3 linked regions of the Elephas maximus indicus genome follow. The protein of the gene in region 1 interacts with the protein of each later gene in a biochemical or structural test. Links are inferred from orthologs where the notes say so. Each region holds a gene or a part of one and is shown on either strand. Other genes may lie near its edges. The genes, in order: CTSB, CSTA and CSTB.

What was found.
Region 2: the proteins of CTSB (region 1) and CSTA form a complex in vitro, tested with the Homo sapiens proteins (3 studies listed by BioGRID and IntAct, with this or other methods). The link is inferred for Elephas maximus indicus from reciprocal best matches to the Homo sapiens genes CTSB and CSTA.
Region 3: the proteins of CTSB (region 1) and CSTB form a complex in vitro, tested with the Homo sapiens proteins (2 studies listed by BioGRID). The link is inferred for Elephas maximus indicus from reciprocal best matches to the Homo sapiens genes CTSB and CSTB.

What each region holds. Positions count from the first base shown.
Region 1 is NC_064840.1:38,999,162-39,009,985, reverse strand, and holds the start of CTSB (cathepsin B), read right to left. Parts: upstream 4,789-10,824; 5' UTR 4,701-4,788; intron 1-4,700. UniProt on the Homo sapiens protein: Thiol protease which is believed to participate in intracellular degradation and turnover of proteins. Cleaves matrix extracellular phosphoglycoprotein MEPE. Involved in the solubilization of cross-linked TG/thyroglobulin in the thyroid follicle lumen.
Region 2 is NC_064819.1:12,915,301-12,925,806, reverse strand, and holds the start of CSTA (cystatin-A), read right to left. Parts: upstream 4,951-10,506; coding exon 4,885-4,950; intron 1-4,884. UniProt on the Homo sapiens protein: This is an intracellular thiol proteinase inhibitor. Has an important role in desmosome-mediated cell-cell adhesion in the lower levels of the epidermis.
Region 3 is NC_064820.1:227,911,762-227,922,081, forward strand, and holds the start of CSTB (cystatin-B), read right to left. Parts: upstream 4,091-10,320; 5' UTR 3,970-4,090; coding exon 3,904-3,969; intron 613-3,903; coding exon 511-612; intron 90-510; coding exon 1-89. UniProt on the Homo sapiens protein: This is an intracellular thiol proteinase inhibitor. Tightly binding reversible inhibitor of cathepsins L, H and B.

The sequences.
Region 1 (10,824 bases):
TTCTAAAACACAAGTGAAAAAGGGTAAGTGCAGTATGATGCAAGTTATATAATTTCTTAAACATTTAAACATTAAATAAGTTTATGGATTGATACAAAGTAATAAAAAGTACAAAACTACACAGGAGAATTAACAAAGACAAGAGGGGTAGACAGGAGACACCAGTGCCCCTCAGGAAGACAAAAAGCAGGCACAGGAGTGGTACCTGACATAGTAGAGCAGAGGAAGTGAAATCTGATGCCTGCAGACAGGCGCCACCATGAAGAGTGAGCCCAATCACCCTGCAAACCCCAGACAAGCCTAAGACTTAGAGGCACCTGGTGAAGTGGAAGCTGGGGATGAGCTGTGAGGCTAAACACATGAGGATTGTTTAAAAGTCTAAAAATGTAATAGAATTTGGTTCCTATACCTCCTAAAAAAAAAAAAAAAAAAAACTCCACTCAAAGTAGGGTGGGTTACAGCCATGCAAGGACTTAACATTCACCTCCCATGCCCCCTTTCTTAGGGGGTCATGGAGTGTGCAAAACGAGGGCATAAACCAAGAGAAGATAAGCTATAAAAATTCTAATTTCATATAGTTCAACCTCATATATTTCTAATCCTGTTCTTGCGCCAAATTCTCAAAAACAGGCGACAGACATTGTGACTCCTCACCTCTAAATATATCAGTCCATTATATAACATTTCCCCAGGACAAGGGATATTCTACACAACCATGCAATTTGACCGTTCTATCTCTTTTATCTTCCCCATTCTTTGCCAGTCCTGCCCCTGTTCCCTCCACTCTTAAAGAGGTTGAATCCTTTCAAAGGTCCAGGCTAGTTTTCCTGCAGAATGTTCTACATCCCGGATTCATCTAACTTTTATTCTCACGACTAGAGTTGGGTCAAACATTTTGGCAAGACCACTCCATAGGTGATGTTAGGTAAATTCACCATACCTCGTCTAAAGGCATATAATGTCAGGACTTGATGCCAAGCTTGACCTCTTTGTTGTTTAAGATGGCAACTGCCAGATCTCTTCATTACTGTTTGCAACTCTTTCCTTTTTGTAATTTGTAAGTAATCTATGGGATAATACTTCAATTTGATACCATGTGACTATCCTCTTCACCAATACCCTTTCACCCATGGGTTTTAGTTAGAATCGCTGATGATCCAAGGATGACTGAGCACCCTTCATGATGTCATCATGTATCAGTTATCACAGTGGAGTTACATCATGGTCAATTTATAATTCTATTCATTTTTTTCTACATCAATTAGCTGGAGTTACTTTATAAAAAGCAGCCAAGGGTGTTAACCATTTGTACCACCCAGGGTCTCCACAAAGACAAAAGGGAGCCCCTACTTATTCGGCCAGGAAGTAACTTCCAACTTCCCCATAGAGTTTCCAAGGAGCGCCTAGCGGATTCCAACTTCCAACCCTTTGATTAGCAGCTGTAGCACTTAACCACTACGTCACTGGGGTTTCCAATCCTTTAGATGGGACCCTATTAGTCTTCAAGGATTTCCTTGCTCTGTGATGCAAGATGCTCCAGGTGTACTTCTATACTTTCCCTACCCCAGACCTGGAAACAGCCATTTCTTCAAGGAGCTCTGATTTTAGTGAGAAGTGGCATTCAGAAATCAAAATCAAGGTGATAGGTCTGTCTGTTGCTTCTGGAGCAACGCTGGTTCTAGAACCTTTTGGTGGACAAAGCTGGAGTGGGGGGATATATACTGATTTCCTAATTTTGTCATCCATTGCCTATCTCCCCTTCTTTCTCTTCCAGCTCTATGATTTGCAAACACCATCTACAATGAATGTATAGTTTCTAAACGCATAGCCAGCACCGCAAAACAGAAACCTTCCTAGTAAAAGTATTCAAAGAACAGATATTGTTCCTTCTCTGAGTCAGATTCACCAACCATGAGTCGGTGCCATACTTCCCTTCTGGGAAATGGAGTCAAGGCAGCCTCTGCCAATTAGTCGATGGTTCTGAATGCATGTAAAATTTTGGTCGAAAATCTCTTTGCTTCTTAAAAGTGAGGTGAGATTGTGGAGATACATATTCTACTTGCGAATAGAAAAGGTGTTTTCCCTTTTGACCACTACCCTAGGCCCAGAAAGGCTGAGCTGCAAGGGCTCTGCACCTCCCTGATTAACCAAGCCATTTTAGAGGAGGCTCTAGTGATGTCCTGAAGATTCTGTAACTTCAAAAGACAAAAACTAGTCCAGGCGTCGAGTTGATTTCAACTCATGGTGACCCATGCGTATGAGAGTAGAACTGTGTGCCACAGGGTATTCAAGGACTGATTTTTTCAGAGTAGATCACCAGGCCTGTCTTCCGAGGCACCTCTAAGTGGACTCGAACTTCTAAGCTTTTGGTTAGCAGCGAAGGGTGTTAACCATTTGCACCACCCAGGGTCTCTAGAAAGGCAAAGGTTGCCCCTACTTATTTGACCAGGAAGTAACTTCCAACTTTCTACAATACAGGATACCCATGCCATTTAAGGACCCAAGGCTCCCCTGAAACTTGGTCTCTGTTCCACTTAATCCAACTGCCAATAGTAATATAAAACATCCTTCACCCCTAAAATGTGTATAACTTCTTATTCTAACTCACAGGTACAGCGGCTGGGGAAGGAAAAAAAGAACTTGTCTACAAAGGGAAAAAGGAGCTTGGCCTCTGCCCAAGCTGCTGAACCAGCACCAGATAGGCAGTTTCCCTCCTGGAGCCAAAGGGCTTCTACTCCTTATCACCTGACCAGTTTGAAAACAGCGTTGTCCTAACAACATCAAGGGGAGTCAGGGCTGTGTCTGCCCTGTGTCACCTCCACCAAGCCTGTGATGCACCAAGATATGCGATCTGCATCTTTCCACCCAAGAGTGCCCCCAGCTCTAGATCAAGTGCCCAAAAAGGTTAGGGTGGAAATCACTTTTCTCCAGTACACCTCAAACTCTCTCTTTGGGAAAGCCCCTTTCTTCTCAAGGCTCAAGGGCCCTAGGTCAATCATCACCAGTACAAATAGGGAACAATTATCTATTAAAGGAAATGAAGTTGTGAAGAATAAGAAAGTGTCCTTTACTGAACCAGGCACCCTTCCAGGCCTCTCCACCTTCTTTCTGAATCTACTGATCCACCTAGATGCAGTCATATAGAATATAGAATGTGTTTCAGCTGCATTCTCCTTTGGTAGTGGGCACTTAGGGATCAAAAGGTGCTAGGTCTCTCTCTGAGCCCCACAACCTCCCCTTCCCAGTGGATATGCAGATCTCCATTGGGTCAGCTGGAGGGATGTGGGGCCTGGGCTATGGTCCTTTTCCCAGTGCCAGTCTACTGACCTTCCTAGTGCCTGGGGAAGGGGTTGAGCTTGGCCCACTAAGCAAAGTTCAATTCACATCCATCTGGTCTATTCATCCCATGTTCCCTGAAGAACCCCCAAATCACTCATCTCCCACTGGTCTCTAGCTACTCCCTCTCAGGCCTCCAGGGTCCTTAACTGAGGGACTCACTCTCCCACACTACCCTGGGCCTGGAGGCACTGTCTTCCTTCTACTGGAGTCCAGGAGTAGGGAGCAGCATTTTCCTCCTCCCTCCTACGTCCCCAGGGAGAGTGGGGTCTAAGGTTTCCACACCCCCTATACAGTCTCCAAGAAGCCCCGGTGCACAATGGTCAAGCACTCAGCTTTCTCCATGGGAGAAAGAGCTAGTAGCAATTTGCTCCCTTAAAAGATTACAGCCTATGAAACCCTATGGGGCAGTTCTACTCTGTCACATGGGGCCACTAACAGTCGGAATCCACGGAGGGAACACAACAACAGTCTCCTATCCTTCTGCTCTGCTTAGTCTCCCCTCTGCTGTCTATGGATTTAACTCACTTGTGTTCCATCCTACTCCACCCAGTTTTTAGGTTCCTGTTTTTAATAGACCCTGTCCTCTGGGGTCCCTGGAATTGTGTGGGATTGTGTGCAGAAAGCTGCACTGGCAAACCCTTTGAAATAAGGAGGAAAAATACAAAAATAGATTTAGGTCAATAATATTAACTCAGCTATTTGCTCTGAGGAAACTGAGGCCCAAAAGTAAGCTGTGCAAGGTCACGCGGCTGGCAAAGGGCTTGGGTAGGGAGCCAGATTCTGGCCAAGTCACCGGATACGGCCATACTCTTTCTCGAAGGATCCTCCCTTGGAGTTCCCCGCAAACTCCCGGGCTCGGCGTGTAGCGGCCTCTGGGACCGGGCTATGGATTTGGGCTGATCGTGGTGTCACTGGGCTGACTGGACTGGAGAGCTCACCGGAACACAACCCTGGGGGGCAAGCGGCCGGGGAGCCGAAGCTTCCCGGCCGGAGTGGGGGGACGGGTGTCTGGCTGCCTGCATATTTTGTTTTTGTTTTTCTCACTACGGCGACTTTTAGGGGTCCACTGGGTGCCACTTCTGCTCGCCCTGGCAACGACAGCCCCCAGGGTCCCCGCTTACCGCCAGCCGCGACCCCCTCCCCACCCTGCCAATTCCCAGGGACACAGCCAGGCGGCACCTGGGCCTGGCGTGGGCACTTGTGGCGGGGGCGCAGCCAGCCACCCAGGTCTCGGTGCGGCCCCGCCAGGCGCTCCCATCCCCCTCCCTAGGTCACTTCCGTCACGGCCGCAAGCACCCAGAACCCACCCTAGCTCGCGGAGATGCCGCGCCGCCAGCCCCGGCCCTTCCGCCTGCACCCACCGAATTTCGCCGCCGAAAGCCCAAGCCTACAGCCGCCGAGCGTACTCCGCCGGATCCCGGTGCCGCCGCGGTATCCTCCCGGAGACCGCCCGGCGCGCCTATTTCTCCCGGCCCAGCCCCGCCCCGCCCCGCTCGGCTGACTCTCCCACGTGACCGCTGCGGGGCCCGGACGCCCAGGCTTGGGCTCCGCACCCGCCGCGCACGAGGCCTCCCGGCCTTGGCGCCAGCGGCCCCGCATTGGCCTAAGTCCTGCGAGAGGCCGCGCCGCTGGGGTCGCCAGCCCAAGGAAGGGGGCATCCGGAACCCCAGGCCGGGCTCCAGAAGTGGCGGCTCCGACCGAAGCCTGCAGCCACCCAGCTTCTGCCGTAGGACAGGGGAAAATCTGCGGGATTGGGGCCTGGGGGAGGCATAAAGAAGGACTCCCTAGGTTTGGTAGCGGAAGGTGGTCCTAAGGAACTCGGGACTCCACCCCCAAAAGACTCCACCCAGCATAGTGAAATTCCCCAGGCCACTGCGGCCTAAACGCGGCTGTATTCAAGCCGGCTGAATCCCTGCATTGGAAGGACTCGCTGTCGCTTCTTCCGTTCAGAATCCACTGCCAGTGTTGGGGATATAAAGACAGCCGGCCTCCGGGAGCTCACAGAATAGCCTTTTAACGTTAGCCTTTAGCGTTGATATCTTGAGATATCTATAGGATACTCCAGCAATGTAATAATGAAAGGAATAGCTATTACCATCGAGTACCAACTCCAGGAGCTGCGTCAGAATTTCTATAGAGGAGGGGGCATTTAGGGGTCAAAATCTGGTTAGAAGAAGGGCGTCAGAAGACCTGTCTTGAAGTCATGCATGCACAGCAAGTACATTGCTTTTACTTAGTTTATTTGGGTGAGTGGCTTGGAGAGGCTGATAGAGTAGAAACAGTTTGCTTTATCATCTCTTTTTTTCTGTAAAAAGGTGATTTTTTTGAAGAAATGTCTGATTTATTTTCCCCTTATTTTACAAACTCTTGTAAATCTGGCTTCCACAGACATCCTTCTGACAGCTTCCAAATCCCAGGGAATTAGATTCCTTGGTCGAATGATTTTTAATTAGTGTTTTCTGTTGATATTCAGCGAGTTCTTTAATAGCTGACAGTGGAGTCAGATTTGGTATTGGCCAGTTCTTACTCCCAGGTATTATTACCCATAGGGTGACTCCTGATGTAGTGTCTGGGTGGAGCAAACGGTTAATGACTTGGCTACTAACCGAAAGATTGGAAGTTTGAGTCTACACAGAGGTGCCTTGGAAGAAAGGCTTGGCAATCTACTTCTGAAAAATCAGCCATTGAAAACCCTGTGGAGCCCAATTTTACTGTGACACACATGGGGACACCATCAGTTGAAATTAATTCAGCTAGTAATGAGTTTGGTTTTGGGTATTATGAATAGACTCTTGTCATCTTTTTAAGAAAATTTTAAACAACCGTATCATATAGGAAAGATTTCCCCATTATACAGATGAAGAAAAAGGCACTCAGATAAGTTCTAGATTGAGTGAATCTGAGGCCCCTGCCTCTTTTCTGCTTCATCAGGCAACAGGAGTTGCCACATAGAGCATGCCTCACTCATGAATGCCATGGGCCAGAGAGTCTGTGATGGAACTTTAGGATGTAACAAAGAGTGACTTGTTTTTTTGGTCAAGGTGTTTTGTCCTCAGGAGATTGTTGTTAAAATGCAAGTAAGTAACCTGGAAAAGTACCACAGGGTCCCATTGGCACACTTCCTGTGGAAGCTCTACACTGGGAACTCTCCCAGGCTTTCCCTATGCATTGTCTCTTCATTTGCATCCTTTTTTTATGTAATAACAGTGTAATAGTAAGTAGGAGCCCTGGTGGTACCGTGGTTAAGAGCTTGACTGCTAACCAAAAGGTCAGCAGTTTGAATCTACTAGCTGCTCCTTGGAAACCCTATGGGGCAGTTCTACTCTGTCCTATAGGGTATCAACTCGACAGCAATGGGTTAATAGTACGTATAGCCCTTTCCTGAGTTCCCTAGTCATTCTAGCAAACTATCAAACCTGAGGGAGTAGTGGAAGCCAGCAGATCAGAAGTGAGGGGGCCCAGGGACTACCAAGCTTGCAGGGTAGCATCTGAAGACTTGGCAGTCTAGAGGACTGTGCCCTTTAACTTATGAGGTCTGACCTAGCTCCAGGTGGTTAGGGTCAGAGGAAGAAGTATTGTATTGCCTTTGCAATTAGGAATAGATTGGAATTGGTTTGATTATATTCCTTATCTCGGTTTCAGAGAAGTGGGATTTGATTTCATAACAGTTGTTTCCTATTGTTGTTGAGTCAGTCCCGACTCATGACAACCCCATGTGTGCAGAGTAGAACTGCTCTATAGAGTTTTCAAGGCTATGACCTTTCGGAAGCAATTCTCCAGGCCTATCTTTTGAGGCCGCTTTGGCTGGGTGGGAACTGACTAGGGGACTCCTAGTCGTTCCTAAGGACAGAATGTTATCTTGGGTCAGACCATGGTTACAGGCTATTTTGAGGATATCATTTAAGCCCAAACCAAATCAAACCAGTTGTCTTCTAGTAGATTCTGACTCATGGTGATTTATAATTGGAGTTTTAGTTGCAGTCAGTACCATTCAGTCCCAGAGTTATCTTTCCTCAGAGGCCTAGGGCAGCATACAAACCTATTAAAGGTATTCTTAGGCCCCTAATTTCACTTTCAGGCTCTTTAGGAGACTGAACGCCTTGAACCGCAAGCAGGTAGAAGGAAGCAGGTCTTGGAAGACGATTTCTTTCCTTCCTCACGATTCCCGATCCCAAGTCATCCAAGCTCTCAGGGCCAGAAACACCATATTCTACCATGAGCCAAAATTTCCTGAGCTTCCAGTAGGGCTCTAATCAACGGAAAAAGGTTGACAACAATTCCTTGCACAGGGATCTCCCTTCTTAACAGCCTGTTACTTCACTAGTCCCAGTCAATGTGGGGGAAGAAAAGAAAAAAGAAATAAAAAATGGAGCCAGAAGAACCTGTATATGAATCCTCATTCTGCAGTTACTTCCTTTCTCCCAGCCTCTAAACGGGGAAGAATAGCTATGTCACAGGTTGTTGGGAGGACTAAAATTAGATTCCACGTAAAGCATCAACTACAGTGCCCCACAAATACAGAGTTAAGTGATGGTACATCCCCTCCCATTTTCTAATGCCCATATCCAGATATATAAAAGTTTTGGTCTTACTAAAAAGACCAACAACACCAAATGTCAAGGATATAGAGCAACAGGGCTTCTCGTATATTGTTGGTGAGAAAGTAAGATGGTATAGGCACTTTGTTGTCTTAAGAAACACTCTAGCAGTTTTTTAAAAACAAAACCCTAAATATATCTTTACCTAATGACCCAGCCATTTCAATTTTATGTATTTACCCAAGAGAAATGAAAACACATGCCCACAAAATGACTTGTACGGGAGTGTTCATAGCTGCTTTATTCATAATAGTCAAAAACTGGAAACAGTCCAGGTATCCACCTATAGGAGAATGGATAAACAAGCTGCAGGATATTCAACAATACCACCCAGGATATTCAATAAAAAAGGATCTATTTATGTTATATACAACAACATACATACCATACCAATTGCCATAGAGTAGATTCTGACTCATAACAACCCATAAGACAGAGTGGAACTGCCCCATAAAGTTTCCAAGGAGTGCCTGGTGGATTCAAACTACCGACCTTTTGGTTAGCAGCTGTGGCACTTACCCACTACACCACCGGGGTTTCCATATGTTACTGTAATTTTGTGGCTCAGAGCCGCCTGCCGCAGATGTCCAATTCCTGAGACAGGGCGAGGTGAGTAGCAAGAGCTTTAATGTGTATTAATCACAGGAAACAGAGGGGAATGATCTCCTCCAAAGCCTGTCTCCCCCAAATGGAGACTGGCTCAAAAATTTATAGGGCAAAATCATGAGTTTCAGGAACTTGTGGAATGTAATTCTCTCCTGGGGTGGTTCTGGTGATCGTGGTCCCAAGGTATCATCTCATCTGCCCAGGGGGTGACTGGTCTCCTGAGGTGATTTTGATGGTTATGGTCCCAAGGTATCATCTGCCCAGGGGGTGATGGGTCTCCTGGGGTGATTTCAGTGGTCATAAGACTTCCTTAGATCATATCATTTGTTTCTACAGTCTGAAAAGGACATTAGTCATTAGTAAAAACTTAACAAGGAAAAAGGAACTGAGCAGTCAAGAATAAGTTTAGAAGAGAGAAAAATGGCTTAGATCCTGTTCATGTCATGGCCGAGCAGCCTGTTCCACATGCAACAACATAGATGAGTTTTAAAAACATTATGCTGAATGACAGAAACCTTACACAAAAGAGTACATACTGTATGATTCCTTTTATATGAAGTTTTAGAACAGGCAAAAGTAATCTATGGTGGAGCAAAAGTCTTAACAGTAGTTGCCTCTGGGGATAGTGCAGGTGGGAATTGACTGGGAGGGGGCCTGAGAGAACTTTGGAGTGATGACCATCTTCTTGATAGAGTTTTGGGTTACACAGGTGTATGTATTTTTCAGCACACTCAGAATATTCACTTAAGATTTGTGCATTTTGGCATTGTACTGCATGTCTGCTTTATATCAAAAGAAAATACTGTTAAACAAATCCCGTACTCTAGTTAATGATATGGATTCTGAAAGAGGGAAGTTACAGGTATCTGCAATTTACTTTGAAATGCATTAAAAAGGATGGATTGATGGATGGAGGGAGGCTCAGATAGATGGATAATCTATGATAAAAAAGCAAATGCAGTAAAATGTTAATGGTAGTGAGGCAGACAGCCTCAGAGCCCACCCCTTCTAGGAGACACCTTCTCTGGCTTATTCTCCTATAAAGAGCAGAATAAGCTGCGCATCCTTCTTAAGTTGTCCTTGACGAGATATCCATAGCAGAGATCATAGATGGCCTCACCCCACCCCTGGGTGAAGATTTAACATGCTAATAAAGGGAAATCAACCTCTTCTTCCATCCTGAGGGATCGAACATTTGTCTAGAAAAAATGCATAGTCATCCCAAAGCCCTGAGTGCCTGCATGAAGGTCAGTCTCAATCCAGAATATTCGTGATGAATTCGCATGTCCTTGTCTGCTCTCTGTAAAAGCCCACCTCCTTAAGCTTCCTGTGACCAGTCTTGGAGCCAGCAGCCCTGATTGTTCCTTTCCTTTGACAACGAAATAAAGGTGCCTTTCTTCTCCTACCTCAGCTTCTTCTTTATTGTCTGTAACAAGTCATGCTGAGCAGAACCTGGGGTTTCCACCCGGGAACAGTAGAATCTAGGTGGTGGGTATATCAGTATTCATTGTAAAATACACTGTAAAATTCTTTCAGTCTGAAAATTTTCATTAGAACATGTTGGATCAAAAGTTCTGGTCTTATAAGCATACAAAACAAAAACAAAATTTAAAATGAAAACAACCCCTTAAAAACTATTTACACTAATAAATGGGCAAGGTGAGCAGATCCCACTTTTATTGCTAATTGCGTGGTAAGGGTCAGCATGAATCCAATTCCCGCGTGGAAGTGGATCCAGTCCTCACCTTCCCATGTCTCTTTCCTCCTTGCTAGCTGCCTGAATGAATGGCACACTCTCCCTCCAACCAGCTAGAACTGTATTGGAACTCACAAGTTAGAGGGACTCTGCCCTTCTTATTGACTACCTGTGCAGCTCTTCTCCAATCCTAGCCACACTGAGCCAGGTCAGGACACATAAGTTTGAAGGACTCTGTCCAAATCGACTGCTCGCACAGCTTTTCTCTGACCTAGCTATCCTGAGCTAAGTTAGAGCACACAAGTTAGAAGGACTCAGTCATTCCTATTGCCAAATAGGTAAATGCCTATTTGGCTTTCATTGCCTTCTGTGGGTTTGTTAATTCCTTGGAACGGCTCACAAAATTTACAAAAGAATATCTATACTTGGAGCTGCCATTTATTATAACCAGAAAGGATACAAATGAAGAGTTGCATAGGGCTCGATCTGGGAGGGGTCCTCATTCAATACTTCCATTGTCCTCAGGGACCTGCTATCTTCCCAAAAGCACATGTTCCTGGCAGTTCAAGATGCCCCTGAACCCCT
Region 2 (10,506 bases), on another chromosome or scaffold:
AGGAAAGAATAGGGGCCTAAGACGGGGGGAGGAATGAGATCAAGTGGAGGGTGAGGTAAACTGGGGTGCTCCCTGGCCAGATGACCACAATCTTCTAAGACGAGCAGGAACTGAGACACCCTGCTGAAAGGACCATGTGGGATAGGATTGGGAAACTGAGGAGAGAGCAGGTACAGCTCCCTCTCTGTGGGGTTTCTGGGAAAGGACTAAAGGGATATGACTGAAAGGATTTTCTGGTAGCCCCCAGGGTGCTGGTGCAGTTGCTTGGCATGAATTCCCAGGTTTATAAAGGGCGAGTTTTCTGTGGTTCTGCATCTTCCTTGAGCCAAGTTCTCTGAGCCAAGAAAGAAGCAGTGTCAGTGGGAGTGCTCTATACTTGAGGACTGGAACGTCAGGAGCTCACCGGGTCATGGAAATCAGGGGTGGAGCTGAGGAGTGTAGGAAGCCATCCAGCATGGTGTCCAGGGCTGGGTGAGTAATGGAGCGGGCCTAGGCATGTGCTAACGAAGACGGGAGGGTGAGTGAGTGCCCGGAGGATTCTGGTGTGGCTGAACAGCAGGTTCTTCATGTGTCCGGGGCGTGGAGGAGGCTGGGGAGACTGCTGTCAGAGAGGGGAACACAAATCTGTGGGTGGGGGACTTAGAGCCATGAAATGCCAAGCTGCAGGGTGGGCCAGTGATGGGTGCAGAAGAGGTGTCTATGTGATGTTCTGGCAGAAAAAAATCATGGTCTGTGTGTGCTGTCAGGAATGCTACTCGGCAGCCACATTTTATGACACAGGGGTGTGTGTGTACACACTGTGTATGTGTGCTTATAGCCCTTATTTTTTAAAAAATGATTGAAATGATATTTCCTTTCTGCAAATACACATACACAGAATTCTCATCTAATGATTATTTACATACAATGTCAGAGCTTTCGCCGTTACCCCCAAAACCAAACCCACTGCCGTTGAGTCGATTCCGATTCATAGCGACCCTATGGGACAGAGTAGAACTGCCCCAGAGGGTTTCCAAGGGCCGTAAATCTTTAGGGAAGCAGACCACATTCTTCTCCCATGAAGCATATAGTTGGTTTTTTGAAGGAGCATAGTACTTATGGGAGAGATTCCTTATTTTGTAAGCCAATCTCTTTAGATACAAGGTGACCTCAAGGGTTATTTTGGGTTCCAGGTTTAAAGAATATCTCAGGGCGATAGTCTAGGGGAGCCCTCTAGTCTCAACCAGTCGAGGAAGTCTTTTTTTTTTTTTCCTTATTTTTCAAGGAATTTGAGGTTGTCAAGGATTTCATTTTACTTGGATCCACAACCAACATCCATGGAAGCATCAGTTAAGAGATCAAAAGACGCATTGCATTGGGTAAATCTGCTGCAAAGGACCTCTTTAAAGTGTTGAAAAGCAAAGATGTCACCTTGAAGACTAAGGTGCGCCTGACCCAAACCATGGTGTTCTCAATTGCCTCATATGCATGTGAAAGCTGGACAATGAATAAGGAAGACCGAAGAAGAATTGATGCCTTTGAATTGTGGTATTGGCAAAGAATATTGAATGCCATGCCTGCCAAAAGAAAGAACAAATCTGTCTTGGAAGAAGTACAATCAGAACACTCCTTAGAAGCAAGGATGACGAGACTACGTCTTACATACTTTGGACATGTTATCAGGAGGGATCAGTCCCTGGAGAAGGACATCGTGCTTGGTAAAGTACAGGGTCAGCGAAAAAGAAGACGACTCTCAACGAGGTGGATTGACACAGTGGCTGCAACAATAGTCTGAAGCATAGCAACAATTGTGAGGATGGCACAGGACCAGGCAGTGTTTTGTTCCATTGTGCATAGGGTTGCTGTGAGTCAGAAGTGACTCGATGGCACCTAACAACAACAACAACAACAAGGGAATACAATAAGTTGGAATTGACTCGATGGCAGCGGGTTTGGTTTTTTGGTTTTTATGGTTTTAAATGTAAGACTGGCTACTTGGACAGAGCAGGCAAGTTTATCGCACACTTTCCCACCAGTATCTTTCCCTCCTGGCATTGTATGATAGAGCAAGAGAGTGAAAACCTGGAGACAGGTTAGCATCTTAACTAGGTGACTATTAACCTTTTCAATTTAAGGATCATCATCTGAAAAATGGATGTAATGCCTTCCTTAGCTGTCCCAGGGGTTATGAAAATCAAATGACAGAGTGAATGGAGCTGTACTCCGCAAGGTTTTCAATAGCTGGTGTTTTGGAAGTAGATCCTCAGGCCTTTCTTTCGAGGCATCTCTGGGAAAAAGAAGAGATCTCTGGGGGCTATTGTTAATACCTATCTCTCACTCTACCTCTCTGACGGAGCTGGAGCCTGAGGTAAACAGTAAGAAACAGACTTTCAAATTAATTTTATAATTCAAGTTGTGGCTCACAGATGGGTGTTACTAACAATTCAAGATATTCTGGAGGTTTCTTGTTTAAAATAAAATTATTTTTGCTAACCAGATGATAGGCTTTTTTTAAAAAAATCATTAAAACTTTCTGTGTCCTCTGTATTCCAAACCCTTATTGTTCCCCAGGAAACCCTGCTGGCATAGTGGTTAAGTGCTACGGCTGCTAGCCAAAGGGTCGGCAGTTCAAATCCACCAGGTGCTCCTTGGAAACTCTATGGGGCAGCTCTACTCTGTCCTATAGGGTCGCTATGAGTCGGAATCGACTCGAGAGCACTGGGTTTGGTTTTGGTTTATTGTTCCCCAAGGAGCCTTGGTGGCACAGTGGTCAAGTGCTTGGCTGCTAACCAAAAGGTCAGTGGTTTGAACCCACTAGCCACTCTGAGGGAGAAAGATGTGGCAGTCTGCTTCCGTAAAGATTGATTACCCGTTGCCATCAAGTCTATTCTGACTCATAATGACCCCATAGGATAGAGTAGAACTGCCCCATAGGGTTTACTAAGGAGTGGCTGGTGGATTCAAACTGCCGACCTTTTAGTTAACAGTTGAGTTCTTAACCACTGCACTATCAGGGCTCCTTTCATAAAAGATTACAGTCTTGGAAACCCTGTGGGGGGCAGTTCTGCTTTGTCCTGTAAGGTCACTATGAGTTACTGACTCCTGGCAAGGCTTTTGTTTTTTAATTGTTCCCCACCTCTCTATAGCTCTGGTCTCTGGAGAGTCTCAGGGGAATTTTCCAGGGTCAGGGATGATTCCAGGTAAGAATTTGAAGTAAACGTTGTAATGTCCCATCTATGCATATTTCTTTTCCATTTTCCAGTATTTTTTGTGCACGTTACCTCATTGAATCTGTACATTTCTGAGACTGGCAGGGCAAGAGGGGTTGTCTTTTACAAATGAAGTTGAGAACTTTTCTTGCCCCACCCCAGACCTACTGTGTCAGAATCTGCATTTTAACGAGACTACCAGGGAATCATAGCACATTCAAGTTTGAGAACAGTGACCTCTTACAGGAAATCAAATGACAGTATTTATGACTTAATATGTTTGTTTTTTTACAGTTGCCAACGAGTGACTCAGACTCATGGTGACTGCATGTATATCAGAGTAGAACTATGCTCCATAGGGGTTTCGATGGTAGACTTTTTTCAGCAGTTAGATTGCCAGGCCTTTTTTCCGAGTCACCTCTGGGTGCACGCCAGCCTCCAACCTCTCGGTTAGCAGCCAAGCACTTTAACTGTTTGTATCACCCATGGATTCCTGATATGTATTATTGATTTAAGGAGCCCTGGTGGTGCAGTGGTTAAACTGCTTAGCTGCTAACCAAAACGTTGGCGGTTCAAACCCACCAGCTGCTCCGCAGGAGAGGGATGTGGCAGCCTGCTTCCATAATGATTACAGCCTAGGAAACCCGATAGGCGCAGTTCTATCCTGTCCAATGGGGTCACTATGAGTTGGAATTGACTCAGCAATGCGTTTGGTCTTTTTTTTTTATTGACTTACTACTAACTTCTCCAAGAAAAACAAGCTTCAAGGTTTTTGTTTTTTTTTTCTTTAAAGAACCCTGGAAAGGGAAATATTTAACCCCAAAGAATGAATGATATCTGGGCCCCTTAGAGAGCTTTCCAGTGTCTTTCAATGCAGAGGATCACAACCTGAGTGGACTCACACAAGAAGATGATCTTGTTGCCAAGCAATGTCATGGAACGACGTTTTAGAGGAAAAAATCCAGAAGGAATGATACAAGAAAGTAAGGTAACAAATTACTAAGCAAAAACAGTGATTTATATGTAGTTTCCTGTCACAGGTGGTACAGTACAATGACATTTTATTACATCATGATTAGTTGATAACTAATCAAACGACACCTAGAAAAAAGTATCAACTCGTTAAAAACATTGAGCTCTGTTTTCACCATAATCAAATTGTAACATGTGAAATCATCCTGGACTATGCCCCTTTCTACTAGTTTTGTCATCCTCTAACGAAAAGATGAAAACACTATTTAGGCGAATTGGTAGAAGGTTTGTAAGAGGGTCACCTTTACAATATTGTTCTTCAAACCGTTTAAAAAATCTCCCTCTAGTGCGTTTTGAAGGCTAATTGTTAACAGCCTTTAATTACATGGTGGCACCACTCGGTGAGATTAGAAAAGTTTCATCAGAAACTGAGTAATTCCAAAATCAGACATCGGAAGAGCTGGGAGAGCTTTGGAGATGGTCCGAAACAAATTCCTCCTTTATAAATGGGGAAACTAAGGCTCAGAGAAGGGATGTGCCTTGCTCACAGGCACTCTGACAGTGTTGGGGTTCTTAGAGGTCTCATCTGAGAAGCTCAGGATTACATTTTTAGCTGTAAGGAAGCCTGGACAAAGCCACATATTCCCCAAGATTCTAGATTTTTGTGTCCAAAGCAAGAATCAGGATTTTGGATCAAACATTTTCATGGGGTGCATCAACTCACCTCATTAGCAATCTGCTGGATTTCTGGAGTGGCAGGTTTAGCTTCTGTTAAGCCTCCAGGCATCATTTTGGCTAATTGCTTCTTTGCACAACAGAATGCTGGGAGTCAATGATCAGGCTAGTGCCGAGACATGAGTTTTTAAACAGGTGTTCACAAGCTCCGCCTATGGGATGTTTTATTTCCACAAAGAGCAAAACAGCACACAGAAAACGAGTATGCCTTGAGACAAGTCTTCTTGCCTCCTCGACAAAGTGTCGTAATATAGGTTTGGGAAAAGGGGCTGGGGGATGACCAAATGGGTGTGCACGAAGAGTCATGCTGTATCAAGAATGAGACTTCCCTACATTCTCTTGGACAATGGTTTTGTCCTGGGAAGCTGGGTATGAAACCTGAAGCTAGGACCAGAGTTTCCAAGTGTTCTAAAACCTTTAACACAAAATTTTATTTTTTTAACCAATACCTGTTAGTAGTATCAAAGGTGATTGTTAGGATTTGCTTGACTTTCTAAAGAAAAGAAAAGAATCTATTTGGAGACCCTTGGCTAGATATTTGTACTTTACTTTTATTTAAATCTCTAAGAAATGTTGAAAGTACATACAGAAAAACACAAAACACAAAATAACAAACACCTACATTCCTACCTTCCAGAATTAAAATTTTTAACGTTCGATCACGATTGATTTCTATCTTTTTCTGTAGTCGTTTTAAAGAAATAAATATTACAGGTATATACACCTGAAGTCTTCCCTGCCCTCCATGAAAATGACTACTATTGTGAGTTTGGTATCTCTCTAATTGATTTTTATCGTTTTAATGAACTTTTTTTCTAACAGAAAAATTTTTATTGTTATAAAAATGTACGTAGCACATTTCCCAATTCAACATAAATATTTTTAAAATTTTACTTAATGGTATACTCTACACATATTCTGTATTATGCTTTTTTTTTCATTCAACATGTTTTTGAGTCTTTCCGTGTAGATACTTAGATCCAAACAACCAAAACCCATTGCTACCTAGTCGATTCCAACTCAGGGCAACTCTATAGGCCCCATATGGTTGCCAAGGCTATAAATTTTGGAAACGGAAGCAGGCTGCCACATCTTTCTTCCAAGAAGCAGCTGGTAGGTTTGAACCATCAATCTTTTGGTTAGCAGACAAGCACTTAACCACTGCATCACCAGTGCTCCTTGATACATAGCTAGATGACTCTAACTGATTTCCATTAACTGCTATATGCTATTCTATCATGACTACTCCACTTTTTACATGCTTAGTCTCTTACTGATGAAGATTTTGGTCATTTCTAGTTTTTCATCCTTATAAACAATATTTTTCCCCCTTTTTGTACATGTGTGAGGGCTTCTGCAGGCAGAAGCAAAATTGTTATGTTGTGTAAATATTTATTTATATTACTTGATTCAGTTTTTGGAATATGTAGCACGAACACATGATAAAAATGAACAAAAGCGGTTACAATATAAGGTTTCTTCACCCACCCTATCCCTCAGCCCCCCTTCTATTCTCTCCAGGGACAATCACTGTTGCCAGCTTCTTGTGTATCTTTCAGAGCTATTCTTTACACATTCAAATATATGACTAAATAACTACACACACACACACACACTTGGTTAGGCCATGGTTCCTAGTATTCTGTGATTGTCCTCCATTTTGTGATTGTAATTTTATGTTCAAAGGATTAGGGTGGGACTGTAACACAACCTTTACCCAGGTCACCTCCCTGATTCAAGGCAAAGGGAGTTTCCCTGGGGCGTGCCCTGCACCACCTTTTATATCTCAAGAGATAAAAGGAAAGGGAAGCAAGCAGAGAGTCGGAGACCTCATACTCCCAAGAAAGCAGCAATGGGAGCAGAGCGCGCCCTTTGGACCTGGGCTCCTTGACCAGGAAAAGACCGATGACAAGGAATCTTCCTCCAGAGCCGACAGAGAGAGAAAGCCCTCCCCTGGAGCTGACACCCTGAATTTGGACTTTTAGTTTACTGTGAGGAAATAAATTTCTCTTTGTTAAAGCCATCCACTTGTGGTATTTCTGTTATGGCAGCACTAGATGACTAAGACAATCTGCTAATCAAAAGGTGGGCATTTCAAATCCACCAGGCGCTCCTTGGAAACTCTATGGGGCAGTTCTACTCTGTCCTATAGGGTTGCTGTAAGTCGGAATCCACTTGATGGCATTTTTACAGGTTAGCAGCCTAGCTCTTAACCACTGTGCCATCAGGGCTCTAGGACTGTGCAAGACACAGTGAAAAAAAGTCTGAATGTACCGTACTCTCTCACTGAATTTGCTACCTACCCTACAGCTATCCCTCTCCATTCCTCCTCATGGTTAGAGTCTGCCTCCCTCAACAGAAGCTGAAAATACCAGATACTCACTTTCCCAGCATTCCTTGCAGTTTGGGAAGACCACATGACCTAGTTCTGGCCAATGAGATCTAAGGGAAAAACCTGTTGGGGGCTCCTGGGGAAGGCTTTCTTTCCCATATGAGACATGTGCAAGGACAAAGCTCCTGCTTCTTCCTCTCTGCTTTTGGAATTGTCCCGTGAGGATGGAATGATTGGAGCTGCTGCAGGTATCTTGTGACCATGAGGGAGATTTGCTAAGCCCCTGATGGCAGATCGTAAAGATGGAAAGAGGATATTGAGGACATTATTGAGTTGCTAAATTGGAGTCACTTATTCCAGCCTTCTTGTTAAGTCATATAAATGCTCGTATTGTTTAAGCCACTGTTGGGTATTCTGTTACTTGTATTTGAAGTATTCCGATACACTCAAAAATATTTTTAATACACCATTTAATAAATATAAGTATATGGATATAAATAAAATCTAGAGACTGAAAGAATAGGGGAAATTGAGGATGCACATCTGCCCTTAAGAAGTTTATAATCTGAAGGAGAACACTTTCTGTGTCTCTTGGTCCTACTTTTACACTGTGTCCTCTAACATTTTTTCAGTAAAGTCTTCACTACCACTTGTCAACGTACTGCTTGAAAAGCAGTTGTAAGGGCCCTGTGTGGGCTCAGGGGAGGACATAGTCACTCCTGGCTCTGCTCCTGAAGGGGGAAAGCAGGAGGGAAGGCTGACTGAGGATGGGTCATGGAAAGCCAGGTAAGATTTTTTATACTTAATTTGTTGGATAGTAGAGGTCACCGAAAATTATGAGCTGTTACAGAGGCTGCCTGTGCTTTAGGAAGATAAAACTGGAAGCATCGTGTAGACTGGATTGGAGGAAAAGATCCTGGGGAAAGAAAGATCAACTAGGAGGTTACCGCCATAGAACAATTAAAAGTTAATGAGAGCATAATTCAATGTTGCGGCAAATCGGCTGAGAGGAATGGGACAGGTATGGACAACTTGTAAAGATAGTATTAGGTGAGTGGGGCGAGAAAAGGGAGTCAGGTGACTGAATGAGGCATTTTGTTTGGATGACCAGGAAGATGATTGTGCTATTAGTAGACTCTGGGAATACGGGAGGAAGAGCAGGTTTAAACAAGAAGGTCGATGTTGAAAATATAAAGACATAATTGGGAAAAGAAGACCGCCTCTCCCCTTCTAGGCAAAAGCTGGGGAGGATGAAGACCTTGCAAAAGAATTTAGTCAAGTTCTTACTAATATAATGTGGAAATCAGAAATAAAGGGCCTTGACATTTTCAGAGTGGCATTAGTCATGGAAATTTAATTTTCAATCATACCTTATAAAAAGTCTTCACCCTTCAGCCAAAGATAAGACGGGCCCATAAAACAAACAATAACATACTAGCTCAACCATGTATACGAGACTAAAGGGACACACCAGCCCCAGGGCAAGGATGAGAAGGCAGGAGGGGACAGGAGAGTTGAACGAATGGAAATGGGGAACACAAGGTTGAGAAGGGGAGAGTGGTGACACGTTGCAGGGTCGGCAACCAGTGTCACAAAACAATATGTGTATTGTTTAATGAGAAACTAATTTGCTATGTAAGCCTTCATCTAAAGCTTAATTAAAAAAAAAAAAAAAGTCTTAGGAAATAAAAAAATGCTAGACTGGCTATTATCATCCCAGTAATGAAGAAGCAGGAGAGGGGGTTGGAGAATATTGACATATCAGTGGCCTTTGGAGCACAAAGAACAAAAAGCAATGCTGGGTAGATGAAGGTCTTGTTTAATCTGAATCCATTGTGTTTTAGTATGTTGTCACCAATAATTTCAATTTCTGTCTTGTTTCGTTAGTAAAAAGTATAAGAATTTCACATAAATGGTTTTCAAATATGGCCCAGGACAGAACCTTTTGGCATGACCTAACTCATCATCTCTTTCTGGGAAGAAATTAGCCTTCTCGATAAAATACTTCAGTAATTTTCTGATACACTTTAATGGGATTAAGACTTACTCTGGAAAACTAGCTGTTTTCTGACAAATAACTAGTTGTTTTCTCATAAAAAGCCTAAGTAATATGAATTTTCTAATTTTCCTACACTGGTTTTATGGATTCAATAAATTATTATTGCTTCCTTAAAAGGTTTAAAATGATAAAAATGGAAAACTACATACTCAAATAAATTGAATAATTCCTATCTTAATATGATTCGTTCTTGCAAATTTCTTTGCCACAAATTATAAGGATTTAGTTGTTCCGTTTTTATCTGGATCCGGAGACTGTAAGTGGAACAACTAAATCTTTGTGATTTGTGGCAAAGAAACTTTTGTACCTTCCACAAACTTTCAGTATCAACTTTTGTTTCTCTGTAGTTTGTCATACAAGAAGGAGAATCAATAAATGGTGCCAGAGCCAAGGCACCGTTCTTCCAGAGCCTGAGGGGGGTAAAGAGGTGGATCAGAACAATGAAATATTACAAATAAAATTCTGTGTGGAGGACCACGGTGAGGGATAGGCAGGAAGCAGCTGGAGTGATTTAGGTTTGAGTAAAGATCTGGGCTTTGGCTATGAGTCGTTTTCTGTATTCAGTCATAACTGTAGTGTAGACATCACCCTGTATTACAAGTGACTCCTCCTTCCAGAGTCTTCTGCTTCCCAGTAAAGGTTACAGTCATTCGCCCAGCTGCTCAATCCAGAAAACATGAATCATGCTTTATTTCCTTGTCTCCAAATCCAGTCCATCAGAAAATTCTCTTTTCTTGCTAAAAAATTGCTATGTATCTTGTTTCTATCTCTTCATGCCACTGTTCCTACCCAAACCACCTGATTCTTTCGCCTGGAAAACTGCAAAAAACCGGGACTGGTCTCTATTCTTTCCTTTTGTCCGACTATAATCTCTTTGCCACACAAGACTCAGAGTGATCTTTTGTAAACACAAGTCAGATGGTGTCACTCCCCTGGACGAACGGCTTCAGTATCTTCCCACTGAACTTAAAAAAAAAATAAAATAAAAAGCCCAAGCCCCTTACCATGGACTAGGCCTTGCATAACTCAGTCTTTGCCTGTCTCTCCAACCTCATCTCACGAGAATCATCTGATGAGACCAGGTGCACCAGCCTCATTTAGCTCTGGGGACAGGCTAAGCTTGTCTCTACCTCCGCCTCTGGGCACTTGGTGTTCTGCAGCCAGGGATGGGCCTTTCCCAGGTTCTTCACTGAGTCTTCTCACCCTTCTTCTCTCAGCAG
Region 3 (10,320 bases), on another chromosome or scaffold:
TGGTAGCTGGTCAAAGCCGGGGGCTTGTTTTCATGAGGCAGACTCTGAAATACTCGCAGGTGCACGAAGTTATCATTACCCACGTGAACCTGGGGAGAGAGAGGTGAGTGAGGGGCACAGGCACAGCCTCGGCCGAGTTCCCTCCTTTCCTCCACTGAGTGCAGGCAGGGAAGGTGAGGGGATGCAGCCCTGGACTGTGTGGAAGCCAGCCCGCCCAGTCCTCCACAACTGCCCGGTCCTCAGGACAACTACCACCAACCTCCTTCACACATGGCAGAAGCCTGTGACCATAGCCCACTGTGCTCAGCTTGCCATCAGAGCCTCAGTCCTTCTCTTCAGCATGCAAACATTCATTTTAGGGGCCTACGACCCCCCTGAAGCCTGGAGCAGCCACAGGACCCCCCCACTAAGCACCTCTCCCATCATGCTGCCACAGTCTCATAAGCTGCTTCCCCAATGAACACCCACTTCAAGTCAGGCACTCTTCTTCCCCCTGATAAAGATGCCCACCTTGATAAAATAGTTTGTCCCAGCAACCACCTGACTCTTGAACTCCACAGCCTTAAACACAGGGAACTTCTTGTTTTCCTTCTCTTCAAGCTGGGCCTTGACCTAGGGAAGGGGAACAGAATAGAAAAACCTGGTGGTTTCCCTTCTGCTAGAGGGACTCACACACACAGGTCTCATGTCTCCTGTTACGTTTCATAAACTGAACTCCAACGTCAAAGCCTTTAAGTATTTTGTACAACGCGATTGGTCTTTGTAACTTTTAGCTCTAGTGATAAAAAAACAGCACCAAAAAAAAAAGCATACCCTTCTTATTAATTCTACCAAAGTTTTAATGATAGTTTTACCTTTCTTTTCTAGGCGTGGGGCGTTTTCACATTTTTATCATTACAACAGCATAGCCAAGCTTCATCCTGGGTTTTTCGGGTGTTTTGTTTCTTAACATGCTGTGAACAATTCATCTGAAAGGCCATATGTAACTTATAAAGGCTAATCTTCCATTTCATAGCTGCGCCTTAATTATCTTAACCATTATCCCTACTGTGGGCACGTAGGCTCTTTCTCCTCTTTGCTGTTCTCAGTGATCCGGCAATGACTCTGCAGGAGAAAGGCACTTTACCTGCATGTTCAGACGACTCCAGGCCACAGTGCCATCCTAACCTAAGTATTCAACAGTAAGTGCACTTTGATCCAATTCTGTTTTCTAGGGTCTTTGTTTTTTAACAGATGATCAGCTTTACGGTAGAAGGAGAGAGAAAGTTTGGTTTTTAATCTCACTGAGTTTAAAGATGCCCTGGCTGCTGTCTAGATTAACTGCTGGCACTCAGAGTATACTGATTCACTCTGGAGTGATGTAGCTAAACTAGTCACTGGAGGCTTAGAGTGTTGAAAGAAAAAAGCCGTGAAAGTGCTTTAGTTGGGGGATAAACGGGTCACCTGGAAAGGACAATGTTAGTTGGGAAATAAGAGGAGTCACCCGGTATTTCATGCCACTGAGTCACCACTTGATCAAAGGTTGATGCTTCACTGTAGCAACCTCCTTTGTGTGCGGCACTGGGCTAGGCCTGCAGGGAACCCACAGACGAAGGCAGTGTCCTCGCCCAGGCAAAGGACACCTAGAACAAGTGCGTGCCACCAACACCCTGGCCGGGGAGGGAGGGGTCATAGAGAAGGAACCACCTCTTTCTTTGCCTGTGTGAAGGGCAGAGGCAGGAGCGGCCACCCTCTGCCAGAAATGGTGAGAAAAGTGAAAATGAACCCGAGGGGTGCCAGCTGAAGGGAGGGAACGTGGAGGCCCTGAGTGCCAGGCAGGCCACTGCTGACGGGGTGACAGCTCCAATTTAGTAAAGGACAGTGACAGAAGGCATGTAGGGTTCGTGAGGGACGCTGTTATGTTAACAGCCCTCAGGAGTGGGGTGGGGCAGGGCAGGGGCACAAGAACAGGCACAGGGAGGATACTCAAGGACAATGTGGCTGTCACAGAACCTGTGGTCTCTTAAGTCCTTCAGACCTTGGTCAGTCTGCACCTCTGACCTCGCCTTCCCCATCTGTAGGCGGGAGACAGCAACACACACACTGAGTGCTCCTGTCTGGATTCAACGAGGTCAGACAACAGACATGCTCAGTATACGCTCCTACCTCTCTCCTCCCCACCTTCTCTCAGAAAACGCCTGGAGGTGGGCCAGCTTCTGTGATACCTTTTCTGAATTTTCTCCCGACAGCAATGGCTACTGCCCACTTTCATGTGACAGACACCAAATTAAGGATCCCCTTTGAGATAACAGAAGCCCTGGTGGCACAGTGCTTAAGAGCTCGGCTGCTAACCAAAATGTCAACAGTTCAAATCCACCAGCCACTCCTTGGAAACCCTATGGGGCAGCTGTACTCTGTCCTATAGAGTCTCTATGAGTCAGAACCGACTCGACGACAATGGGTTTCAACAGGTTTTGAGATAGCAAGGAACCCTGATGGTGCGGTGGTCAAGCCCTTGGCTGTTAACCAAAAGGCTGGCGATTCGACCCACCAGCCGCTCTGTGGGAGAAAGATGTGCCAGTCTGCTTCTGTAAAGATTACAGCCTTGAAAACCCTATGGGGCAGTTCTACCCTGTCCCACAAGGTCACCATGAGTTGGCAGGAGTCCCTGGGTGCTGCAAATGGTTAACATGATTGGCTGCTAACCAAAAGGTTGGAAGTTCAAGTCCACCCAGAAGTGCCTCAGAAGAAAACTCAGCCACCGAAAACCCTGTGGAGCACAGTTTCTTCTCTGGTCGCCACAAGTTGGAGTTGACTCAATACCAACTGGTTTTTCGTTTGTTTTGAGACGACAACGCTTCTATCCTGGCTGCAACAAGAACTTAACACATACTCGAAGTTCATGCTGCCTGGTAAAAGATGCTGACAGGTGAGACATTTCTCAGGCCTGGAACAGTAGGAAAGTGGTCAGGAAGGCCTAGGCCTAGAGGGTTGGCTATGGGGAAGAGTGGAGAACACTCTGCTAGGCGCGGCTCACACAAGCCTGCATGCGTGCTCTGGACAAATTCCGCATTTTCAACCGTCGCATGGGTCTGACTCACCGCCCTTTATTGCCCGATGGTAAACCACCTGCGCAACTGTAACATGGGCTGGGCTGACCACATGCCAGAGGATTTATGAAGAAGTGGCTGCAGGGAGGAAAGCTAAAAGAGGAAGAAGTTTATTTTACCTTTCCCTGGGGAGTTCTGATGTGGGCTGAATGTTTCTTGTTTACTGACCAGTGTGTAAAGAATTGATTTTGTTAACATATCATGGCAAGTAGAGCAAACCTGATTTAAACGGAATACTAAGCACTTTATACTCTTAACTCATTTAACCCTCACCACAACATTTGGAGCCAGACACTGCTACTACACCCACTTTAGAGATCTGTAAACAAAGGCAGGGAGCAATCAAGGAGATGCTCAGGTTTTAGCCAAGCTCTGCACCTGCTGCAATCCAGCCTGTGCCTGGAGGGGCCTCCTGTCACTAGAATTGGCTCGTTTCCAAGCAAAGGGCAAGGTAGTTTCCCTTTTCTCCCCAAGTAATTCAGGGAAGATATATTTGAGCATCCCCCCCGTAGCACCCCCCTTTTCCCTTGCCTATTTCTCTTTTGCTCAGCTTTAGGAAGGACCGGCTCCGCCCAACGCGGCGGTGGCGGCCTCGATAGCAGTCCTAACTTCCCAGCAAACTCCGCGCTGTCCTCTGGCCCCCTTCCTGGGTCCTCCTTTGGGGAGGACTCCCGTGCACTTGTCTGGAATTAAATTCGGGGCAGGTGCACCCCGTCAGTCACCCTCTCAGCCCCCATCAGCAAAACCCTGGACCTCTCCGACCGGGGGTGGGGAGGGGTCGGCTCCCAGGCTGCCCGGGGGTCTCGGGCCTCACCTTGTCAGCGATCTCCTGGGTCTCGGCGGTGGCTGGCTGCGTGGCGGAAGGCGCTCCACACATCATCTTGGCGGCGGGACTGGAGACGACCGGAGCGGAGCAGACAGCCTGTGGACACAGCCGGCCAGACAGAAGGGACAAAGCGGTGCCACCTTCCGGGCGCTAAGTAGGCGGTGGCGGCGGTCACATGACGGGCAGGAAGCAGGTCACGTGAGGGGCGGGCGTTAAGGTCACCTGAGGAGTGGGCAGAACCAAAGCCCGCGGCGGGGGGCGAGGCCGACAGGTGGCCACCGCCCGTTAGGAACTGGGCCGCAGGGCAGGGGCGCCGTCTGCAGACGAAGGCCCCGGGTTCTGTAGGGGAGCGTCCCCCCCACTTGGGGTTTGGTGTCTCCCTACCCTGGCGGCGGCCCAGTCACAAGGGGTGGAGGGCTCCTTCCCCGAGACGGAAGATACCGGAGCTATCCAGCCTGGCTCGACCCTTGACCCTGACCAGCTTGCGTTTCGGGGACAGGGCTGGCTCTGGAATAACCGAGACAATCCGGGGAGACGGCCCTGACTGACTGCTGCCTTGGAGAGAGGGAGCCAGGAGGAACCGGGGACGGGGCTGCCTGAGGGCTTCTCCCACCGCGAGGGTCAGAAGGCACGCACCCGCCCTCGGCCCCGGCGGTCCCCCGCGTCCCCCGCGTCCCGCCCGTCTTGGGCCCTCCGTCTGCAAGGCCTGACCCAGTGGCCCCCCTCACCCTGTCCCCACCCCGTGTGCCAGCATGTTGTGTCGGCCGCGGTGGACATTGCAAACAGACCGGCTCCTTAAGGGCCCGCACAGGGGGACACACAGAGCAAAGACTGAAATGGATGGACCGGAGGCGCAAAGGGGGTCCAGCGAGGTTGGCTGTCCAGGGTGGAGGATGTGAGTCAGGTCAGGGCGCAGCAGAAAAGGGCTTGGTTCTGGCAGGATTTGTGTTAGGGATTTAGATTAGACTCAACCACCTGGAGAAGGGATGGGTCCTCCTTGTTTGGGACAGGTGTGGGCCTTGTGCTAGGAGCTGTTGTGACATGATGGCCTTTCAGAAAGTCCCAAACTCTCCCCTTCAAACCCCCTCCAGGGCTACGCCTTTATGCCTGGCACCTCACTGGGAACTGGGCAGATCCCATGAGGTTCTGCTTCTCAGGGGCCAGCCAGGGCCTCAGGGCAGAGCAGGAGTGGTCTAAGAACAGGTGGGTGTGGGAGGTGGGCGTTTCTCTACCTGCAGGACAGAGCCCTGACCTGGAACTTCAGGTGGGGTTAGAGTCCTGGGGCAGGGAGGACTGCTGAAGGAATGACAGATTTGACCCCACACAAATGGAAAACTGCTCTAAATGGAAAAAAATAATAAAGGCTTTGGAAGGAGGGAGAGGAAGGCCAATCTGTCACCTTTTTCCATCCTGCAGCTGCCAGGCTTGGATCCTTGTCTTGCAGAAGGTTTTGACCTAAAGAAGTCACCTTGCCTCTGAGTGGGTCTGCAGGTGCCCAGAGTTTACAAACAAGAGAGTAACCCTGTGGAAATAAGCAAAGACACCTCCCAAATGAGAACAAGCTGGCTATGTATTCAGAGCTACCGTGGCGAGGGAGTCAGCCACCATCGCTTGAGTTTGGCAAAGACTCAGGGGGAGACAGCGGAGTGGGAAAACTGGATAAAGCTGTGGAAAGAAGGAAGGCTCAGGTGTGCCCTGGTGGAGGGAGTTGGCATGGGAAAGCTGGAGGTGGGCAAACTAGAAGCATGTGTCTTGTGTGGTTCAGGGCCTACTTGGCTTTCTCTGGTTGATCCTGGTGGTGCAGTGGTTAAGAGCTCAGCTGCTAACCAAAAGGTCAGAAGTTCAAATCCACCATCCGCTCCTTGGAAGCCCTATGGAATGGTTCTCCTCTGTCCTGTAGGGTCACTATGAGTCAGAAGTGACTCGACAGCAATGGGTTTGGTTTGATTGATCCTGAGATGGAAGTGGGGACACCAAAAATAGGGAACTGGCACTCACTCACCAGTCCTGACTGTTTAGGGCTCCCAAGGTCATGGGTCAGAGTTCTCTAATCACCTATGGTCTGTCATCTGTTTGCATCTTCAGTCTTTCATACCTGCTTAATGGAATCAAAGCTGCCTTATTGCTGCAGGTCTTGATATTTTTAAGCAGGTGCCATGGAGGGTAGGAGCCCTGCCTCTTACCTGCTGCATGGCTTTGGAGTAATTGCTGAACCTCTCTGTGCTTCTCTCTGGGGACAACTTATCACCTACCTCAAAGAGTTTTTCAAGGACTAAATGAGTTAATAAGTATAAAATACCTGGGCAGTGTCCGAGCTCTGGGGTGAGCTGTTAGTACTGTTATTGTCTATAATCAGTATACTAAGCTAAGTCTTACTTACCTATTACTAGTATTACTTTTTCTATCCAGAGGCCCTGGAAAATACCGACATTTACCTCCAATTCCTTGATTCAACAGTTTTCCATCTTACTGAAACCAGGAGTAAAGACCAAATATCCTGTCTCCCTAGGCCTATCTCAAGGACTTTTGAATATCATTTACATATGAAATTCGTATTCAGAATTCTAAATGTAAACTATTTTTTCTTTATTTTTTATTGTGCTTTAAGTGGAAGTTTACAATTCACATCAGTTTCTCAAGCAAAAAGTTATACACACAAGGTTATGTGACCCAAGGTGCTCTCCCTACAATGTGACAGCACACTCCTCCACTCCACCGTGTATTTCCCATGTCCATTCAGCAAGCTCCCGCCCGCCTCTGCCTTCTCATCTCGCTTCCGGACAGGAGCTGCCCACTTAGTCTCATGTGTCTACTTGAGCTAAGAAGAAGCACACTCCTCACCAGTATCATTTTCTGTCTTATAGTCCAGTCTAATCTTTGTCTAAAAAGTTGGCTTTGGGAATGGTTTTAGTTTTGAGTTAACAGAGAGTCTGGGTTCATGTCCTCTGGGGTCCCTCCAGTCTCAGTCAGACCATAAATCTGGTCTTCTTAAATATAGACTATTTTTGAGATTTCATTTGTGAAATCTCTGGTTTTTCTAGGTTAAGTGGGTCCCATGGTTTCTTTTCGCCTTGTCTCATCATCCCTTCTGCCCAGGCAAGACAATTCGGTTTGGGTTTTTGTTGTTGTTTTTGCTCTGCTTGCCTTTAACACTCTTGACAAATGATGCATAGACTTGTTCCCTATTCCAAAATCAATTGATTGTGTTTTCATTATGCAAAAATTTCATCATCAGAATGTGTTGCTAGTTAAATTCTAGCCAGAGAAATTCATTGACTAAGAGGAAAAAGAAGGTGGGCATTTAAGACAAAGCATTTAAACAACTAAGCGTTTATCAACTTGCCAGGAACTAGGGTTAGGATTTCAACCTATGTTATGGGGGGACACAATTCAATCCATAACAGGGACGTTCTCCTACATTAAGGGTTAGCAAATTGTGGTCCACGGGCCACATCTGGCCCCTCGCCTGTTTTTGAAAATAAAGTTTTATTGGAACACAGCCACACCTATTCACGTACATATTGTCTATATGGTAGCTTCTTTTGCACTGCAACAACAGAGTTTGACCCACGATGTAGAAAATATTTGCTATCTGACCTGTGCAGAAAAGAGCTAGGACAGCAGGCCTGACTTCTGTCCTTAGGGCAATGTTCAAGGCTGGCCCTGAGCTGCATCAGGGAACTTGGATTTTGGAAGGGTTCCCACTATCCCCTGATAAGCGAAGCTCCCTGTGTGCCTCAGCTGTGTGTACAAACGGGGTGGTTTCTGCTGAACACCTGCTTTCCTTCTGCAAGTCTGGAATTTTGGTATGTGCCAGGCAGAGGGTGCCTACGTGACTTGCGCCCAATCGAAACCCTGGGCACTGAGTCTCTAATGAGCTTCTTTGGTTGGTACTATTTCACACTCGTTGTCACGACTTAAGTGAGTCCTGTGTGACTCCATGGGCGAGGACTCTGGAAGCTTGTGCCTGGTGTCCCGCAGGCTTCATGCCATGTGCCTTTGCTCTTTGCTGACTAAATTAATAATTGCTTTCATATCCAGATGCAGAGAGAGAGCCCAGCCAGAGCACTCACACATACACATTGGATGCAGGCTACACCCCAGGGAAGAGCATGACTTGAGTGAGAGTGGGACTTGAGTCACAGCCTCCTCCAAGGCTGTAACTCAAGATACACCCCACTCAACTCCTGCCTTATTAACATATGTTGTTGTTGTTAGGTGTTGCTGAGTTGGTTCTGACTCATAGTGACCCTATAGGACAGAGTAGAACTACCCTATAGGGTTTCCAAGGAGCAGCTGGTAGATTTGAACCTCCAACTTTTTGGTTAGCAGCTGTAGCTCTTAACCACTATGCCATCAGGGCGCCCATTAACATATAGAGGGTAGGACTTACAACACATAAAATGGAGGATAATTACATCAGATCACAAAATGGAGAACAGCCACTCAGTACTGGGAATCATAGCCTAGCCAAGCCAGCACACAACACCAACCACCACACCTCACTAGGGTTTTTCATATGCATTATTTACATGGCTCTACCCAAGCACTGTGTGGGAGTCACAAAGACTATGGCTAGAAGGGCCATATTTAGTAGTTCACTGCACCGCACTAACTTTGCTCTGTGTCCTTTCGCTGTAATGAATTATAGCCATGAGTACAGCTGTATGCTGGGTCCTGTGAGTCCTAGTGAATCACTGACACTGGGGTGATCCCAACACATTGCCCTTTACAGAAAAAGCTTGCTGCCTCACACTTCTACTTAAAGAATACTATTGCTACATCTAAGAAAATAAACATTCTGTAATATCATCTGTCTTACTCATCTACTGCTGCTATAACAGAAATACCACAAGTGGATGGCTTTAGCAGTTTATTCTCTCCCAGTTTAGGAAGCTAGAAGTCTGAGTTCAGGGTGCCAGCTCTTGGACTTTCTCTGCCAGTTCTTGGGGAAGGTCCTTGTCTTCAATCTTCTCCTAGTTTAGGAGATTCTCAGCACAGGGACCCCAGGCCCAAAGGACGTGCTCCCCTCCTGGTTTTTCATTCTTGGGAACATGAGGTAACTCTGTCTCTATGCTCGTTTCTCTCTTTTGTATCTCAAAAGAGATTGACTCAAGATACAACCTAATCTTGTAGATTAAGTCCTGCTTTATTAGCATAATTGCCTCTAATCCTGCTTCATTAATGTCGTAGAGGTAGGATTTACAACACCGAGGAAAATCACAGCAGATGACAAAATGGTGGACAATCACACAATACTGGGAATCATGGCCCAGCCAAATTGATACACATCTTTGGGGGCACATAATTCAGTCCATGACACCATGATTCCCACCCTGTCGGCAGAGGCCTGCCTGGCTCTCAGGGCCTCCACGTTCCCTCCCTTCAGCTGACACTCCTCTGGTTCATTTTCACTTTTCTCACCATTCCTGGCAGAGGGTGGCCGCTCCTGCCTCTGCCCCTCACACAGGCAAAGAAAGAGGTGGTTCCTTCTCTATGACCCCTCCCTCCCCGGCCAGGGTGTTGGTGGCACGCACTTGTTCTAGGTGTCCTTTGCCTGGGCGAGGACACTGCCTTTGTCTGTGGGTTCCCTGCAGGCCTAGCCCAGTGCCGCACACAAAGGAGGTTGCTACAGTGAAGCATCAACCTTTGATCAAGTGGTGACTCAGTGGCATGAAATACCGGGTGACTCCTCTTATTTCCCAACTAACATTGCCCTTTCCAGGTGACCCGTTTATCCCTCAACTAAAGCACTTTCACGGCTTTTTTCTTTCAACACTCTAAGCCTCCAGTGACTAGTTTAGCTACATCACTCCAGAGTGAATCAGTATACTCTGAGTGCCAGCAGTTAATCTAGACAGCAGCCAGGGCATCTTTAAACTCAGTGAGATTAAAAACCAAACTTTCTCTCTCCTTCTACCGTAAAGCTGATCATCTGTTAAAAAACAAAGACCCTAGAAAACAGAATTGGATCAAAGTGCACTTACTGTTGAATACTTAGGTTAGGATGGCACTGTGGCCTGGAGTCGTCTGAACATGCAGGTAAAGTGCCTTTCTCCTGCAGAGTCATTGCCGGATCACTGAGAACAGCAAAGAGGAGAAAGAGCCTACGTGCCCACAGTAGGGATAATGGTTAAGATAATTAAGGCGCAGCTATGAAATGGAAGATTAGCCTTTATAAGTTACATACGGCCTTTCAGATGAATTGTTCACAGCATGTTAAGAAACAAAACACCCGAAAAACCCAGGATGAAGCTTGGCTATGCTGTTGTAATGATAAAAATGTGAAAACGCCCCACGCCTAGAAAAGAAAGGTAAAGCTATCATCAAAACTTTGGTAGAATTAATAAGAAGCTTGTATTTTTTTTGGTGCTGTATCCCTAGAGCTAAGGTTTACAAAGAACA